3 linked regions of the Cricetulus griseus genome follow. The protein of the gene in region 3 interacts with the protein of the main gene of each other region in a pairwise test. Links are inferred from orthologs where the notes say so. Each region holds a gene or a part of one and is shown on either strand. Other genes may lie near its edges.

What was found. The genes of interacting proteins can lie anywhere in the genome.
Region 1: the proteins of Sdcbp2 (region 3) and Npm2 interact in binary tests that used the Homo sapiens proteins (3 or more experiments, as listed by UniProt). The two-hybrid records come from large-scale screens. The link is inferred for Cricetulus griseus from reciprocal best matches to the Homo sapiens genes SDCBP2 and NPM2.
Region 2: the proteins of Sdcbp2 (region 3) and Zcchc10 interact in binary tests that used the Homo sapiens proteins (3 or more experiments, as listed by UniProt). The two-hybrid records come from large-scale screens. The link is inferred for Cricetulus griseus from reciprocal best matches to the Homo sapiens genes SDCBP2 and ZCCHC10.

The regions. Positions count from the first base shown.
Region 1 is NW_023276807.1:225,301,408-225,307,689, forward strand, and holds the start of Npm2 (nucleoplasmin-2), read right to left. Parts: upstream 3,911-6,282; 5' UTR 12-3,910; coding exon 1-11. UniProt on the Homo sapiens protein: Core histones chaperone involved in chromatin reprogramming, specially during fertilization and early embryonic development. Probably involved in sperm DNA decondensation during fertilization.
Region 2 is NC_048600.1:67,475,807-67,481,934, reverse strand, and holds the start of Zcchc10 (zinc finger CCHC domain-containing protein 10), read right to left. Parts: upstream 3,911-6,128; 5' UTR 3,795-3,910; coding exon 3,754-3,794; intron 1,030-3,753; coding exon 871-1,029; intron 60-870; coding exon 18-59; intron 1-17.
Region 3 is NC_048599.1:28,471,099-28,477,464, forward strand, and holds the start of Sdcbp2 (syntenin-2), read right to left. Parts: upstream 3,730-6,366; 5' UTR 2,814-3,729; intron 1-2,813.

The DNA of each region.
Region 1 (6,282 bases), on a different chromosome or scaffold from region 3:
TGGTGACTCATGGAACTTTTGCTGGGTGGTTTGGTGGAGGTGTTGGGGCACAGAAGTGAGTCTGTGGTAAGATAGGTCCTGGGTCCCTGCTTTGGAGCTCAGCTGTTCTCACTGTCTCGTTAGTAATACAGAAGCTAAGCTCACAGCCTCCTGTAAGGAAGGTTTCCTTGCAGCCTGGGGAATCCAATAGCCATTGAAAACTCCTAGAGGTCAAGTCATACCCCTCGCACCCCACCCCCATCTCAGGCAACTGACCAGAGCATCCCCAGACCGGAGACACAAACACTCAAAACAGCAATGGAGAAGATGGTGATTTTTGTGTAGCCCAAGTTGGGAAGCTTGCTGAGAGATCATCTGACAGCCCCTGGGGCCCTCTGGGAACCCCAGGGTGGAGAGGGAGGAGGCACCAGGTGTGAGTCCAGTGGGATCCAAGTCCCACCCATCCCCTGCTCAAGCTTACTGTGCTGCCAGTCATGGGCCTTACCTCCAACTGCAGGCCATTCGAGCTTCAGCTAAGGGCCAGCTTCCCACACCAGGGTGTTAAGAAGCCTGGGAAAGAGAAGGGGAGGCGGAATGGGAGGGTCCCAATTAGCCTTAAAGAAGTAGCCCTTCTTCCTCCTTCCTGCCCTCCTGCGCTGGAATCACCTGGTACTTCATTGTTGTTCATTGCCTCCTCTGTTTCCCATTGAGCAGGTCTAGGTGGGACCAAGAGAATTTGCACTACCTACCGGTTTCCAGGTGAAGCTGCTGCTGCTGGCCCAGAAGGAAGCCCCATGCGAGCCACTGTTCACACCCAGCTGGGACTTACTGAGGTTCCCAAAAGAGAAGGTGTCTTTGCTTCTTAGAGACTGTCATTGGATTCTACATGTGTGGCATTGCTGGGGTTCTTACGTTAAGCCATTCTAGAGGATGTATTTTATTTTGTTTTTCTTTCCCTCTAAGGAAATGCTCTCCCACTGAGCCTGTTGGTAGCATTTCATTGTAGTTTTTAATTTGAACTTCCTTAACGATAAGGGATGTTGAATATTGAACTGATTATTGGTTATGATCAAAGTGGCATTTTCTTCCTTCCTTTTTTTTTTTTTGAGACAGTCCTGGTCCTGGAACTCACTTTGTAGACCAGGCTGGCCTTGAGATCCACCTGCCTCTGCCTCTTAAGTGCTAGGATTAAAGGCATGTGCCACCACTGCTCAGTGGAGGTTCTTTATATATAATGGATATTTGTTTTGTGTCAAATGTACATATTCCAAAGTTTTTTTTCAGGTCAAATTATATATTCTTTCTCTCTCTCTTTCCCTCCCTCCCTTCCTTTTTGAGACAAGGTCTTGTTATGTGTAGTGAGGCTGTTCTTAAACTTAAGATTCTTTTGCCTTTCCCTCCCAAGTGTTAGGATTAGAGGTGGTCACCACCACACCTGATTCTAATTTTAGCTTTGACTCTTAGGTGTATGATGTATTTTGATTTAACTTTTCTGAGATGGTATTGCGATTGCTAAAGAAACTCCCTTTTATGCTAGGCATCCATTCTGGTACCCACTAGCTGTCTCTGACTCCAGTCTCAGTAACCCTGATTTAGTCACCCCCATGTAAAAATATACAACCTTGGCTGGGCCTCCTGGCACATGCTTGTAATCTTAGAACTTGGGAGGCAGAGGAGGGTGGATCTCTTGTGAGTTCGAGGCCAGCCTTGTCTACAGAGCCAGTTCCAGGACAGCCAGGGCTACACAGAGAAACCCTGTCTTGAAAAAAAAAAACACAAAACAATATGACTTTTTTTTGCTTCTGTAACCTGCTTTTGTAGGCCTTCAAGGACCATTCTGAGGTCACCTTGACTATATGACCCTGAGAACAGAACAGCTCTTGCCTTGATTGAGCAGATACTCAAGGTCTTCTCCTTTAAAAACCTTTCCCTCACTCCCCTTTCCCGAAGCAATCTCAATTAGTATTGAGAGTATTGTCCTGCTAGCATCTTTAATAAATTTAACTAATTATAGTCTGGATTGATTTCCCCAGGGGTCATGAACTCCATCTCATACTGCAAAGGATGGCCTTGAACTTGTGACCATCTGTCTTGGCCTCCTGAGTATCCCAGACTCCAGGCATGTGCTATCACATCAGTTTGAGCTCATTTTTATGTATGTAGTAGGAAGGGTTCAATGTTGATCCCTCACCTTCTGCCCCCTCCCCCAACCCCAAACACATAACCAGTTCCTCTAACACCAATTCTGAAAAATACTCCTTCCTCATACTGATCTTGGCATCTTTGTTGTCAAGTAATCATTCACATATGTCAGTCTCTTTCTGAACTGTCTTCTGTTTCATTGGTCTGCATGTCTACCCTAGCACTAGAGCCATATAGGCTGGAAAGTAGATCTTGAGATCAGGTAACATGAGTGCCCCAGTCAGTCTTTTTATTAATTTTTTTTTTTTTTAGGGCTGAGGCTATAATTGAGTGGTTGAGCACTTGGTTATTACGTGAAAGGCCCTGGGCTCCATCCTGAGCACCAAAAGAAAATATTTTAGGGGCTGGAGAGATGGCTCAGTCAGTGGTTAAGAGCACTTGTTGGTACTGCAAAAGACCCAAAGTGTAGTTCATAACTGTCTGTACCTCCAGTCCAGGGATCTGATGCCATCTTCTGACCTCCAAGACAAGTATGGATGTATGGGCAAAAAACGTTCATATACATAAAATATATCTAAAAAAAGACTTTTAACTATTTCAGATTCTTTGCATTTTCACAAGATACATAATCAGCATACTAGTTTCTACACAAAGGACTTTTGAAGTTTCTATTGAACAAAGTATATTCATGAAAATATCTTTATGTAGTTGGGTGAAGTGGAGCACACCTTTAATCACAACACTTAGAAGGCAGAGGCAGGCAGATCTCTGTGAGTTTGAGGCCAGTCTAGTTTAGAGAGTGAAAGTCCAGGACAGCCAGAGCTACATTAACAAGACCCTGACTCAAAACCAAAACAAAACTAGTCCTTATGCATCACTATACACAATGACTATACACCAATAAAAATGTTAAGTACTTATTGAGAAAATTTCAGATTTTATTGAATGCAGAGATCAATGGCAGGAGCTGGAGATATAATTCCATGATAAAGTGCTTGCCTAGCATGTGTGAAACCCTGTGTTATGTCTCTACAACAACAAACTACCAAAAAAACACACTATGATGAAGACAATGGACATCACTGTCTTTGGAGTCAGCCACTTATGAACACATTACAGTCTAATTTTCTTTGGCATTATTCTATAGCTTTTAGCACAGATCTAAAATTATATGTATTTCATGTTCTTGGATGCCATGGAAAATGGTATATATTTTAAAGTTTAATCTACTTTTTTTTTTAGTACATACAAATAACCTTTATTTCCCTCATCAGTGGTGGAGAACAAATTTAGGCAAATCCAGGTTTTGGGCAGGTTAAACAAGCATGTCACAAGACTGGCTTTTGTAGGGAAGAAAGGGAACTAGAGGTTACAGTTCCCTAGGTGATGTGAAGGGGACATGCAGAAGAGATGAGAACCAAGGATTGCACATTTGTATGAAGTACCATAGTGAAACCCATGTATGATAACCTGGAAATGAAAACCCATGAACAAACAATAGACTGTTATATGTTGGTCCTCTCTTCTGAGTTCCAGTGGCTTTTTTGTACTCTAAATCATGACATTGGGAATAAAGACAAAGTTCATTCTTTGAGATCTATGTGCCCTTTCTTTTTGAGCTGTATTCATTTGGTTAGGGCCTTTGGTAAAACATCCACTCTTCTTGAAAGAGGGTCTCACTATGTACCCCTGGCTAGCCTCGAACATGCTATGTAGATCAGGTTGGCCTCAAACTCAGAGACCCACCTCCCTCTGCTTCCTGAGTGCTGGGATTAAAGGTGTGCACTACCACATCTGGCCTGTCTCTTTCCTCCCCTTCTCCCTCTCTTTCTGTCCAAGACACAGATGGAATATATATATATATATATATATATATATATATATATATATATTCATTCATTCATTCTCCAGACTGGTCTTGAAGTTTGAGCCTTCCTGTCTCAGCCTTCCAAGTGCTAGGACTGCAGGTCTATGCTACCCAGATAGCCTTTTGCTTTAAGGGGAAAGCTCTCATTTCCACCTTCAAGTATGTTGTTGGTAAGGTTTTTGTAGATTTTAAGGTTAAGAGTGTGTGTTAGGATTACACTCAGTACCACATACAAGGCCCTAGGTTTGTTCCCCAGTACCACCACTCACAAAAAAAATTTTCTATTCCTTCTTAGCCGAGTTATTTTTGAGATAAGATCTCACATATTCCAAGTTGGCCTTGAACTCACTATGAAGCTGGGGATGACCTCGAACTTCTGATCTTTCTGCCTCCATTTCCAATTGCTGGGATTAAAAGTATGTCACCACTTTAAATCTACTCTGTCTCTTTAAATGTCCTGTCTGCCAAGTCACAGCACCAATGTTATGATAAAGCTTGAGGGGGACCTTGGCGGATTCCATGTCAGGCGAGGGTGACCTAGGCAGAGGGACAAACATGACAGGCAGACAGAAAGGCGAGGGGGTGGGGAGATAAAAAAGAGACAGAGACAGAGAGGACAGAAGAGGGAGACAGGAAAAGTTGTCTGTCTGTCCCAGGGGAACAGTAGGAAAGAGAGCATAAGTGGGTGGAGGTCTTTCAAAAGGGTCCTTTGCCCCTGGGCTGACCAGGGCATTGCCTGAGTGCATTCTGCCAGGTGACAGAGGCTGGCCAGCATAATGCCTGGATCCTTAAAACCACTCTGTTGGGCTTTATGCTGTGCTAGGGACTGTACCCAGGGCTTCTTGCATGCTAGGCTAGCACTCTGCCAAATAAGCTATATCCCCACAGCATTTTCCCGCTTTTAAATTTAATATTATGAGTTTACACTTGTATCTACTAAAATGATCTCTAATTTTTCCTAAGTTTATATGGTGTTACATTTATGCTTTTAATAGAATATTTTAAAAAGTTTTATGTGTATGTAGGTTTTGTCTGTATGGCATATCTGAGAACCTGAGTGCTTGGTGCCCACAGAGGCCAGGAGAGGCAGTCAGATCCCCTGTAACTGGAGTTACAGATGGTTTTGAGCAACCATGTGGGTGCTGGGAGAGCAGCAACCGCTCTTAACTGCTGAACCATCACTCCAGTCTCTTATTCTTGAAAGTCAAATCAACCTTGCACTCTAGACTCAGCCACACTTAACTATGTTGTATTCCTTTTTATATATTGTTGATTTAGACACGTTTACATTTTAGTAAGAATGCATCTAAATTCATGAGCTATTAGTCTAAAAGCTTTAAATTAAAATATTTTATGTGTATGGGTATTTTGTAAGTCTCTGCGTGTAAGATGGCACAATGTACATGCCTCTGCTCAAGAAGGTCAAACGATGTTGAGTCCCTAAAATTAGAGATATGGACGGTTATGAGATGCCATGTGGGTGCTGAAGATTGAACCTGGGTCGTCTACAAGAGCACCCAGTGCCTTTTAACTACTGAATTGTTTCTCCAGCCCCCTAAATGTTCTTTTGCTTTATTCCTTAATGTCTTTGGGTTTTGTATTTGAAGTATATTTTCTTAGTAAAACCAAGTGTTCCTCCTCTTCCGAATTTATGTGTGACTGGTATTTATTTTGAAGAATTGTTTTTGACATCTCCAGGAGCGGGTTCTTCTCTCAGGTTCACCCAATGCACTGTCTTCTTTACAACCCGCTCCTTAGTCTTGCCCAGGGCTTCCTTTTTCCCAGTCAGGCACCGCTCCATTCTGCAACTAGGGAACCACAGGAAAACCAGTCAAATTCAGTTGGTCACAAGACAAAAGTTGTGTTGACCCGCCTCTCAATATTCCTCAACTTCCTTCTCACAGCCCTACCCTTGGTTCGCACTCTCTGTCCGTTAGACTGGTTGGTTAAGCAGACTGGCTACTGGGCTGCTTTGCTAAAGAAGCCGGCTTTTAGGATCAAAGCCCGACCTCTTGTAGGCCCATCCTTCACTCAGACACAAAGAAGCCTGCTCTATCGCTCTGGCCACATCATCTCTGCTATTCCTCCGAAGGTGTTTCACGCCTTTCTGTCGTGCCTTGGTCTGGGCTTCGCTGGGAGCTGTACTACACAGAGCACCCCTTTGCGTCTGCGACAGGCCTCCGCTGTTTCAGCACTCCTTTGGGACTGGGACTCAGCGACAATCGCTGCGGATACCTGGAAACCCGTGTGAGGACGCGATGTAAACAGACTCAAATTTCTGCAAGCACAGGGCC
Region 2 (6,128 bases), on a different chromosome or scaffold from region 3:
GGTAGTGCCATACCTACCTCTTCTTCTTGGCTTTTCTCTCTATATTAGTCTCTCCCATGCTAAAGGAATAAGGAAGAACAAAAGCTCCTATTAATAAGAGTGATTTTAGAAGCCTCTGCTAGCCTCAGAACATTCTGTTCTTATTACATATGCTCAAGGGCACATGATTTCTTTCTATAATCAACTAAAGTTTCCTGGGACAGGATACAGGCAGTACATATGGCTGACTTAGTGCTTAGCAACACATTTATCAAAACCAGTTAGTAGTTAAGATGACTGAACACACAAATCTGTTTCTTTGTTTAGAGCTTGAACTACTTACTGAACAAGCCAGGCAAACAAAAGCACAATAGATATAATCTGAGTTCCTAGAATTAGTTCTTTTACAAAATAAAGTTTAACCCAAATTTTAGTTACTGTTTAAACAAAAACAAAAAGCCCCACAGAACCTCAAGGCTGTATTCCCTAACATCATAAAGAGCAGTCTGGTGAGCTTTTGTGAAACGTGCAGATGCACAAGCTCGTGTGAGCACACAAATCGGTTAAAATGGCTACCTCACTAGTAGGGATTGGAGGTTTAGATATGCTAACACTTGTGAAAAGCACAGTATAGTGTCTGACACAGTAACCATTGATTAAAATCAACTAATACTAGTATAAACTGGATTGGTGGCACACACTGTAATCCCAGCACTCAGAATTCAGACAGGAGGACTGCAAATTTGAGACCAGCCTGAGATACATAGTGAGACAATGTCCAAAACCCAAAATAAACAAGAAATTCAGCTACTAGTAAAACAAAACTTTCAGCCCTTAATCAATAATGTAAATATTTGGGTAACTTCCTCTGGATACCACATGTAAACTTACCTTTGCTGCAACAATCTATTTTCTTTTTCTTTTAAAGCTTTCTTCAGCTCTGCTGTTCTTGAAGGCCTGTGGAGGTACTTTCTTTTTCCTTTGCACTCATAAGTCCAATGTCCAAATTCCAAGCATTTCTGACATCTTACATGTTGCTTATTGGCTTCACTACAAAGAATAAACAGAATATAAGTCTTAGAAGTTTTGTCTTCTCTGGGCGTTGGTGGCACATGCCTTTAATCCCAGTACTCGGGAGGCAGAGGCAAGTGGATCTCTGTGAGTTCAAGATCAGCCTGGTCTAAAGAGCTAGTTCCAGGACAGCCTCCAAAGCCACAGCAAAATCCTGTCTTAAAAAACAAACAAACAAAAAACAATAACAAAAAAGTAGCTTTGTCTTGTAATACTTTCTGACCTATAAAGGCATATAGTGATGTTTACTCTAACAGACACAGAAATAGTTATGTGGATCAATGCATGCAACCTGGGATTAACAGAACAAATCTTGGCTTCTTTAAGCCCAGTGTGGTGTTTCATGCTTGTAATCCTTCACTTTTCAGGCTAAAGCAGGAGAATGGCTGTAGCCTGAGCTACAGATCGAGAGATCCTGTCTCAAAGCAAAACAAACACATAAAAACAAATATTGTTTTTGCTTTCCAGTAATGATGCACTCAGAGCAACATTTTTAGTTCAGAATGCAAAGGATAATTACAGACTTTTATTTTACTTTATTCTTTGTAGTGCTAGATAGATATTAAACTCAGGGCCTCCTACATGCACACGGAGCAAATACTACCACCAAGGTAGACCACTAACCCATTAAAACACTTTTAAGGATGGGAGATGGCTGGGTGGGTAAGGGTGCTTCCTATATGCCTGAAGATCTGAGTTGGATCCCTGGATCTGTATGGTGGAAGGAGCAGAGAACTGACCCCAACAAGTTCCTCTGGCCTCAATTCCTATACACACACACTTAAACCGCCCCCCACCCCCAACACACAGAACAGGGTTTCTTTTCTTTTTTTCTTTTTTTTGTTTTTCGAGACAGGGTTTCTCTGTGTAGCTTTGCAGCCTATCCTGGCACTCACTCTGGAGACCAGGCTGGCCTCGAACTCACAGAGATCCGCCTGCGTCTGCCTCCCAAGTGCTGTGATTAAAGGGGTGCTCCACCAACGCCCGGTCACACAATAGGGTTTCTATATGTTAATAGCCCCAGTTGTCTTGAAACTCTGTAGACCAGGCTAGCCTTAAACTCAGAGATCCACTTGTTTCTGCCTTCTGAGTGCTAGGAATAAAGGCATGATCTAACACATCTGGCCCAATACTCAGGTTTATGACTAATAAATCACAGCTTACATCAAAAGCAAGAAAGTTAAAAGCAAGCAGGTAATAGATCCATAAACAGTATTTTCCTTTCAGTTTCACATAACTTTAAATCCAACATGCCACTATCACATGGCCATACAGAGGGTGAACATAACATTGCTGGGAGGTTTTGTTTTAAGATGAGGTCTTGCCAAGTTTGGTGGCACATGCCTTTAATCTCAGTACTCAGGAGACAGAAACAGGTAGATTTCTGAGTTCCAAGCCAGCCTGCTCTACAAAAGTGAATTCCAGGATAGCTAGGGTTGTTACAAAGAAACCCTGTGTCGAAAAACAAGACAAAACAAAACAAGCCATCTTGTCACTTAAGTAGCCTAAGTCTGGATCCAAAAGAACCAGTTTAAGAGAGAAAAGGGGTGAAATGAGATCCTAGTAACTTAATTTAGCACTGTTAAAATTAAGGTTTTTTAAATTTTATTTGTTTATTGAGCCATGGTCTCAGTATGCAGCTCTGAATGTCCTGGAACTAGATATGTAGATCAGGCTAACCTTGGGCTAAGTGCTGGGATTAAAGTCCTGGGCTATGGCCAGGGATGGTGGCTCAAACCTTTAATCCCAGCGCGTGGGAGGCAGAGGCAGGTGGATCTCGGAGTTAGAGTACAGCCTGGCCACAAAGCAAATTTCAGAACAGACAGGGCTATGTGAAAAGACCCTGTCTCGAAACACCAATCAAAAATAAAGAATGGGAGCAAAAGAAATTAAAGGAAGCGTTCGCCTGTTATAGGCCATCAAGTTTCCTAAACAAAATTCTTACCAGATTGAGAGAGATTAAATAAAGGTGTAAATTTATTAATTCTTAAACAGCTAGCTAGCTTTGACAGAAAAAAAAAGTTCTCACCGCCTCAAAGCAATTATACCATTGTCTAGCGTTTCTTTTCCCAAGCCCTCTGGTGACTCGGTCTTTCCTACGCCTTTCAGCCTGTCTTGAAATGTCACCCCTCCACTAATGTATTTCCAGTCCAACTAATTTGAAGAAGCCTTTCCCGTATTCCCATCACAGCCTCTTATTTCCTACAAAGATTTTTAAAACTACCAACTGTACTTGTTCAGAGGATTAACTGGTTCCACATTTAGACTATAAGCTGCGTGTCCCGAACATTTTTCTTCACTGAAAAAAAAAAAGGCATGGAGTGGTAGGTACTAAAAGAACTATTTACTGAAGGAGAGAGTCGCAGAAAGTGAGTCGGTAGATGGGAAAAGAGTAAAGGCATTGTAGACAGGCTTGTTTCTAGGAAAGGCGGTAGGAAGGAGACCGGAAATGCTGCAAAGGAATAAGTGGGAGAAGTTTGGGTCCTCGGGAGTGAAGGTGTGGGAATCAGGCATCCAGGCTACCTTGACAAACGTGTGAGACGGACAGAGGATCATAAACCACACAACCAACAACCCTTGGATTCATTTCGGACTCTCCGAGCCCGCTCAGTCCCGCAGCCCGCGCCAGCTCACTAACTAGCGGACTGGCGTCTCCACACCCACAGCCCTCTCGCAGACCCCACTGGGCGTCGTCTCACTTACGCTTGTCTCCGAGCTATCAGCCGATGCATGGGAGTCGCCATCTTGGAGCTGCCGAGCCTGCCGCACAGGCTTTTGGGAAACTCCGAAGGATGGGGCGGGGCCTTCAAACCTCCACGGCCGTGGGCGGAGCCAGACCGGTTTATCCCAACAGAGGTGATTGGTGGCCCCCCGCTGGTGTGTTATGTCAAATGTGGGCCTTGTGTTTAGTATGAATATGATTAGGACCTTGAAGGGTGAAATTAGCGTTCAGAAAACCTGTAATCCCAGCGTTCTCGAGACCGAGGGAAGAGGGTTGCTATGTGTTCAAGGCCAATCTTGAAAACAGTTAAGACCCTGATTCAAAACAAAATTCCGGCTTGGCTGACCACTCTTTTAATTTCAGCACTCAGAAGGCAAAGTCAGGCTGGTCTCAGTGAGTTGTAAAATGTTGAGGCTAGCTTATATACGAACCTATCTCAGAAAAAAAAAAAATTAAAGCAGGGCAGTAGTGGCTCACACCTTTAATCCCAGTACTCCAGAGGCAGAAGCAGGCAGATCTCGCGTTCAAGGCCAGCCTGGTGTACAGAGTGAGTTTCAGGACAGCCAGGGCTATTACACAAAGAAATCCTATCTCAAAATATCCCCCAGTGCTGGGATTAAAGGCGTGTGCCACCAACGCCGGGCTAGGCACAGGGTTTATATAGGGCTTCTTAGGGGCAGAGTTTTTCCAGGGTGGAGATTGGTCAGATTTCAATGCCTGGGTTTATAATGGGTAGATCTCCTGCTCAGGGATTGGTTAGTTTTCTCGAAGGTTTAGGGTCAGATTTGCCTCTGGTTTCAGGGCCAAAGTGTGTTTCTTTCACTGGTCCTTTTTAGCCTTTGGGCTCCAATTTTAGGGCCAGAGTATATTTCTTTCACTGGTTCTGATTCCAGGGACAAAGTGTGTTTCTTTGGCACTGGTTTCAGGGTCAGGGTACATTTCTTTGGTTCTGGTTGCAGGGCCAAAGTGTATTTCTTTGGCTCTGCTCAGGATGTGTTTGTTTGGCTGGGCCTTTTTCCTTACAAAAACAAACAAAATTATGCCCTGGTGGCACAAGCCTTTAATCCTAGCACTTGGGCAGAGGATAGCAGATCTCTAGGAGTTCAATGTCAGCTCAGGCTATAGAATTAAAGGGCCAGGGAAAGAACATGGTTTTTAAATGGCTATTTTGGCCTTTTTTTTTTTACAACTCTAATAGTGGTCTTATTCTCGAATGGTGGGATTAACAACACAAAGATAGAGAATAATAAATAATGCAAGGGAGCTTGTCTGCAGAAATAGAGAAGGAAGCTGATATGCTGAAGAAACAAAAAGGAATAGACCTTCCTACACTTGGCTATCTTGTCTTTTGATTCTTTTTTTTTTTTTATTTTCCTGCAAATTGCATGAGGCTTTATTGTTGTTTAACGAGCTAACCCCATGTTAGCTCGGGTCTTTCACCCACCTGCCATGGCGGATGGCTAGCAAAGACAGCTCGAACCAGCTGCCGAGAGATCTTGTAGGGCAGCGTAAGGGGAGTATCTAGGGGTACGCACAGGCTCAGGATTGGTGTGCCTCCAGGCTTGGAGGGCTTGTCCTGTGTTGATTGGCCAATTGGTTGTTATGGCCCATAGGCCCTCCCAGGGTAGTTGCTATGCTCTGCGTGTCATTGCTGTGCACTTGTCCGTAAAGCACACCCAGAGCGCTGCCAGCTAACTTCTGATTGGTTCCTTGCCACGAGGCAGGCATCTGACTTCTAGTGATTAGGACAAAGTCATGGCAAGCATGTGTTACTATCATGGCTGCCAAAATGGGGAGCTGGTCCCTTCATTCCCCCATTTGTCCTTTGATTCTTAAGTTATCACCATAACTTCATTACAATAAATTAATTTGCCCCTCCCCCCTTTTGACAACAGCTCTGGCTGTAGATCAGGCTGGCCTCAAACTTATAATAAGAGATCTTCCTGCCTTTGCCTCCCAGGTACCTGAGATTAAAGGTATGTGCCTCCACCTCTGGCTCTTTTGTTTCTTGAGACAAGGATATCCAAAGTCCAGGCTGATTTCCAATTTGTTACATAGCAAAGAATAACCTTGAAATTCTGATCCTCCTGCTTCTACTTCTCAAGTGCTAGGATTATATCTGTGAACCACAGTTTTCAGTTGGTGTGGTACTGGGAATTGGACCCAGAGCTTCTTGCACACTGGGCTTGCATTGAACCACTTGAGCTACGTGTTTAGCCCAGTTTTTTATTTTAACTGAAAATAATTTTTTTTTGAGAATTAGCACTAGCTAGCCTGGAATCCTTGTAGATCAGAGTATTCTCAAGCAGCTATCTGCCTGTCTCTATCTCCTGAATACTGGGATTTTTTTAAAAGT
Region 3 (6,366 bases):
CTCTCCCAAAGGCACCAGCCACCAGAGATGGAACCATTGCACATCGGCAGCCCAGGGAAGTGGACTTGGCTGAGGGATCACCTTCCACAGAAAATCAGACCGAGCTCCCTTTGTAAGGAGGGCAGGAAAATATCTGGAAAAGCAGGAAAGCCTCCTCGAGGGAGAAGACCCGCCAATGACCGTGAAGGGTGGAAAGTTTAAGCCAATGAAAGTAAAAGTGTGCTATTCCCGGATAGGGAGACCCAGGCCAGAGTTCCACCTGCTGTTTAGATATTTATTACCTTCAAGATGTTTTCTTGAAGTTTTCCCAAATCTTGACTGTATCCCCACCAAATACACTCATGGGCTGAGCCAGAAATCTAGGAGTTGCCCTCAGCCCCTGCCTTTACCTTTTGGCGAAGCCACACCTAGCTCTTGACATCAGAATTAATCTCAGACTTCAATATGACTTTAAAATTTAATTTCATGACTGAATCCTGGAGGGCATGTCTCTATTGCTCACTGCATTTCACTCATTTCAAACTGTTTGCTGGTTGTAAAACTCAGCCTGCTAGCCCATGCCTTTGTGCTTTGGGAGTGCTGTTTTCTCTGTCTTAAATGCCACCCACAGTTCATATGGCGAATTGTTCAGCTCTAAGCCTCCCTCTGAATCCTACACCACACAACCCCCAAGGATCGTCAAACCTCTTCTCCCTAGACCACAACATCTCATGTATTCCCTAGTCATTGTTCATTCCACAAATGTTTAGGAAGCTCTGACCCAGGCCTTTTGCATTTCCTAAATTGAAATTTCACCAAGCTGTATTTGTTTGCCTGTCATCCTCATTAGCTGGTGTGAATTTCCAGAACCAAGCCTTCATAAAGTTACAAGAGGAGAAAAGCAGACATAGGGAAGAGAATTCCGTGACCTAGTGGGTATCTATTTCCTCCCAGTTGAAACAACATTCCCTCCTGGAAGGGAGTAGGAGGCCTATAGGCCTCAGGAACCTAAGGAAGCATACAACACTCTGAGGAGCTCAGAAAGCTATGATTCACAAAGCCCTCCCCAAGGTTATATAAGCAGTGAACAGTTGCCTGGGAGAGAAGACTCTTCTGGGGAGCTATCTGCTGTCATCACCTGTGCTGGGGTGGGCTCTCCTGCGATGGAGCTGCCTTTGAGTCACCTAGATTCCTTTAAGCCCACTAAACTCCTTGGTTCACTACAGTAGGCATGGGATCTTTGAGTTGGCCTGTCATTTGTTCTGTCTGAGGTGAATAGACATTTGTTCACATCTCCCAGAAATGTCACCTGACACCTAGATAAACATGCTTCCAATTACCACCTGTAGAAAGTCCTTTGAAGAATAACTGGGTGTAGAAAGGGAAACTACAGCCCTATGAGTTACACATAAAATAGTATGATAATGAAAGTTTGTTCAGTTTCTACAAGTTGTTGGCTTCTTAGAAGGGAACCAGCCCATCCAGTCCTTGCTCCTGGAGGGACTTCCCTTCCCCCACAACACCTTACAGATATCCATCCCAGAGCTTTCTACACCTCTTCAAATTGTAAGCAATAATAACACCCACAGCGTATCAGCAGTCAGGCTCTGTGGAATCAGCGGGGCTGGAAAGGGGCCCATCAGCCCCCATCTTTGAACTTAAAAGAATGAGAACACTTTGTTCTAAACTGCTGGAACTCTGGGACTCCCACTTGTTCCTGTGGACAACTCATCCATCCTTCAGAAAAAGCAGAAGTGTGGGTTAATGTGGTGGAGTAATAGCTCCTGTAAGGCCAAATTAACCCAGGGATCTGGTGAATCGGCAAGGAGGGGGCTGTTGCTAAGCCACAACATGTGCCCTCTCCTTTCAGGGCTGCACTGCTAGAGGGAACTAGGAAACGCTGTTCCCTCAGTGAAGGACCAGGGGAGGCAGAGCAGAGGCTGGGACGTTAGAGAGAGGCTCAACCTACTGCCTACCTCTGACTGTAAGAACAAACAATGGGCAAGGCTCTATGTCATTTCTGTTGTAATAACAGTAATAACACTTTCACCACAGACTATTCGAGGCATGAGAAGATTAAAAGAGATCCACATAAAGAATATTTAGCACAGTACCTAGCACAAATAGGCAACTCCGTAATAGCTGTCTGCTCATCCCACATGCATTTATTAGATTTCCCTGAGTCCAGGTACTGTTTGGGATGCCAGCTGTACAAAGTGAGCAAAATTATCACTCCATGAGGTAGGGACTTCGTATTGGATTAAAAAGCTCCAAAAACCTTGTAGGCTGTGTCAGATGGTGAGAAGATCTGGGGAGGAGGAGGAGAGCAGAGAGTGGCAGTAGGACTCGGGGAGGCTTTCTGTAGGGATGAGAGACAGTTGAGTAAAAGCTTAAAGTGGCAGAAAGGCAGTGCCACTGCACAAACCCTGAGGTGAGTGCCCTCTGTGGCTAGGGACACCTGAGGGAGAAAACCAGAGAAGTGGGCAGACGTCCAGATTTGGAGAGCTTGAAGGTCTCGGTGAGGATTTGGGCCTTTCTTGAGTGAGAGACTAGGGAAGTCTGAGCATCAGAGAGCCACAGCCTTTGGGGCCTCCTGGCTAATAGTTGTGGGATAGATATGAGGTAAGGGTAGATGCATAGACTAGTGTAGAAAATCATTCATACTTCAAACCCTGCCTGGGCCTGGGGTCAGAAAAGGAAAGCTTTGTCCCCATTTCATTCCAAGAGTGAAGCAAGTTTTTTAAAAGACTAGAAGACAGGACAAGGGAGGGAAAGAAATGATGGTGAGCAGGTCTTGTTTAGCTCCTGTCCCAGCCAATACAGTCTGTTCTTACCTGCTGGCTCGATGCTCTGTATCTGGCTCCAGTCACTGCAGAGTCTCTTGGGATGTGCTGGTGGCCTGTGTCCCAGCTGGATTCCTGTTCCAGGAAGGGTGGTGCCCGCCCCTTGTTCAACTGACTCACATGGACTGGGATAGGCCCAGGTTAGGCTGTGTGGCTACGTAAACAGAGCAGTCACCAGGCCCACATGAGGCCTTTGCCTTAATCTAGATTCAGAGGTGGGGTTAAGGACACAAGGCTGATATGAGTAGGTGTTGTACAAATGAGTACAAACTAGGGTTAACTGGCCCTATGAGGAAGTCAGCACTGGCTGTAGAGGACTCACTCTGCTGGAGGGAAAGTCAGTTGGCTGGAGAGCAGGGTTTTTTACAGTGGCCATGTTTTGTAACCTAGTATATTTCTTAGAAATGTATTGCAATGAAGTCTCTGGGTCCACCACTGTGTGTTTCTTTTAGTAAAGCCAATCGGGAAATCCCAGATGCTTGACATTGGTTAAAGGAGTCAGCAATCTGTGGAAGATGACAAAATTATTAAATCATGTAAGGAAGTTGCCAGGAGGAACTATAACCACGGCACTAGTGAGACTGTGAGAAATCACATCAAGGTCCTACCCTCTGGTTTTGTTGTCAGAAAAGCTTGTTTGCCTGCAGGCAGCTGAGGAAGACAATTTCAAATGCAGAGTGGCTCTAGATGGGAACTGAGGTCTCTTCCCTTTCTCCTTTCTCTTGTTCATTCCTTCTCTGAGATGTTAGGAGTCAAGTTTTACACTCCTGAGCAAATGCTACAAATGCTAGCCTGACATCTCCAGCCCTGGTGAGCTTTTCAGTTTGTACTTTTGTATGGGTTTCAATGATGGTAGGTAGGAGTGTGTGTGTGTGTGTGTGTGTGTGTGTGTGTGTGTGTGTGTGTGTGTGTGTGTGTGTGTGTGTGTGTGTGTGTGTGTGTAGCATACTGGCCTCCATGTGCATGTAGAGACCAGAGATTGACACTGCCTTCTTCCTCTCTCTATTCCTTTCCACTTTAGTTTTGAGACAGATCTCTGAACCTAGTGCTCACCATTCTGGGTAGCCTGGTTGTCCAGCAAGTCCCTGGGATCTGTCTCTACACCCCTGGTGCTGGAGTTACAGACATATGCTGTTGTTCATAGCTTTTACATTGGTGGTGGGGTCCACATTACCCACTGAACAATCCAGCCACCTGTGCTTATGATTTTCCTAAGAAATTGAGTAAACATGTTTGTTTATTTTTTTAATTTTGTCTCTTGTAAGGGGAATGAAGGAACTGTGTTGAGGTTGTGTTGGAATAGGACAGTTTTTCTTCCTTTTCCTTTGTCACTTTGCTTTGTTGTTGGTGGTGATTAGTTTTGACACAGGGTCTCCCTATGTATAGTCTTGGCTGCCTCTGACAACCAGGTGCTAAGTTTAATGTTTGTGCCGCCATGTCCAGCTTCTTTGTGCTCTTTACATTTTGAAATTTTTAAATGTATATTTATCCCATTAAATTATCATATGCAAGTCAAGTTAAACAGAAGAGGAGGAGGAATTCCTGGTGGGTATAGTTGGATGACTTTGTCTAGGGAGGGACCTAGGAGTCATGTGCTGGGCAATCCCCTAAGCAATGACGCAGGTCACCTACCTACTCAGGGTGGGGTGAGTATCAGGGATGCTTGCCAGGCAGGCTCACTTCACAGTTCCCATGATGAGCCTGGCAGGATTGTATTAACAGCAGATCCTGAGGCACTGCCTGACTGTGAGGAGCCTACAGCATAGAGTGCCACACAAGGAACACATCCAGGAATGGTGACACCCCTTTGCACATGGCCTTTTGCCTCTGACTCTAAGAATCATCATTTTGTGTTGCTCATGTTCCCAAAGGCTGAAAATTGACCTGTGGTTCCCTGAGAGCAAAGCCTACATGTTAGCTCTACAAAAGATGTTCTCAAAATAAATACTGGAACCAGGGCTATGACCAGGATTTGATTTTTTTATAGACTTCCATGAATAATTTTAATAGGTTTAAAACATTGGTGGCTAAATGTACAGCATTCATTTAGAAACTCCCCGCAGTACTGTGGCAGACCTGAGCAATCAGCCACTGCACCTTCGCGCTTAGCTCATGGCTTGTTCAGAATCCTCTGTGCATGCAGGGCGGTGGTGGCACATGCCTTTAACCCCAGCACTCGGGAAGCAGAGGCAGGCAGATCTCTGAGTTTGAGACCAGCCTGGTTTACATAGTGAGTTCCAGGACAGCCAGAACTATATAATAGAGAGACCTTGTCTCAAACATATATACACACTTGTGTCTACATGTGTCCTTGAAGGGAGAGGTGTTAGAGGAAAGAACGTTGGAGATACCTGTAGGAAGAGGCAATGGAGAAAATGGAGCTGGGGACAACTGATTGTCACCATTCTGAAGTAGCAACAGCAAGATGGATAGTTTCCTTAAATCAGGTTGGCCATTTCTCTACTTACCAGGCTATTTACAAACTTTACAGAGTTGTATAATATGAAGTGAATTTTGAAAACATTCCTAAAGCTGATCATGGTAATACATGCATTTGAGAACTAAAGTAGAATGATTTCCTTGGGTTGGAGATCATCTTGGGCTATGTAATGAATGCAGGCCAGTCAGGGATACATAGCAACTCTGTCTCAAAAGAGCAGACATGGGGATGGGGAGGAGTGCTGTGAAAAGCTGTCCTCGGCTGCTGCACACATAAATCCACTGTAGCTGTGGACACCTGTATGCATTCGAGCCAGGTAAACTTCCAATATGGACCATGGAGGGCCTACCCAAGGCCCTATCCCTAGCCAAGGACCTACTGGAAATTGATGCAAGACCTCTCTCTCTCTCTCTCTCTCTCTCTCTCTCTCTCTCTCTCTCTCTCTCTCTCTCTCTGGAACTCACTAAGTAGACTAGGCTAGCACAGGACTCACAGAGATCTACCTGCCCCTGCCTCCAAGTGCTGGGATTAAAGGTGTGCGCCACCATGCCCAGTCTGGGAGCCACTTTTATTTGGAAAAGCCTTTTAGTGAACTTGAGACCCTTCAGAAATTAATGGTTATGTGAATATCCATTTAAACCTTAAGCTTTTAAACATAAGACATGGTTGGGGAGTATATTATGAAAATCTACAGACAGCTGAAGATTGACATTTTTAGCTGAAATCGGAATTTCAAATGAAAATGAAAGTTCTTCAGCTGAAGTCTGAAGGCTGTAGGAAGGATAAACTTGTTATGGTCTAGTCATATGGACTGGTGGGCTGGTGGCTCATGGTGTGGTGACCTTTTCATTTGTGAGTGTAAAATATGTTACCCAGTGCTTAAGAGACTAACCTCCAGATGATGTAATCACTGTGACCATGGTTTCACAACCCTGACAGCTCTATGTGCCAAGCCAGCCTCTCGCAGTTTGCTATGAGACAGTACCTGCAACTGAGATATTATTTGGTAATAATGGTCTAATGGTGGCCTCCCAGCCTTCTCTTTCTCAAGGCTATTAGGGTTAAAGGGCTTGTCTAGGAACCTCTCTGATTGCAGAAGGAAGA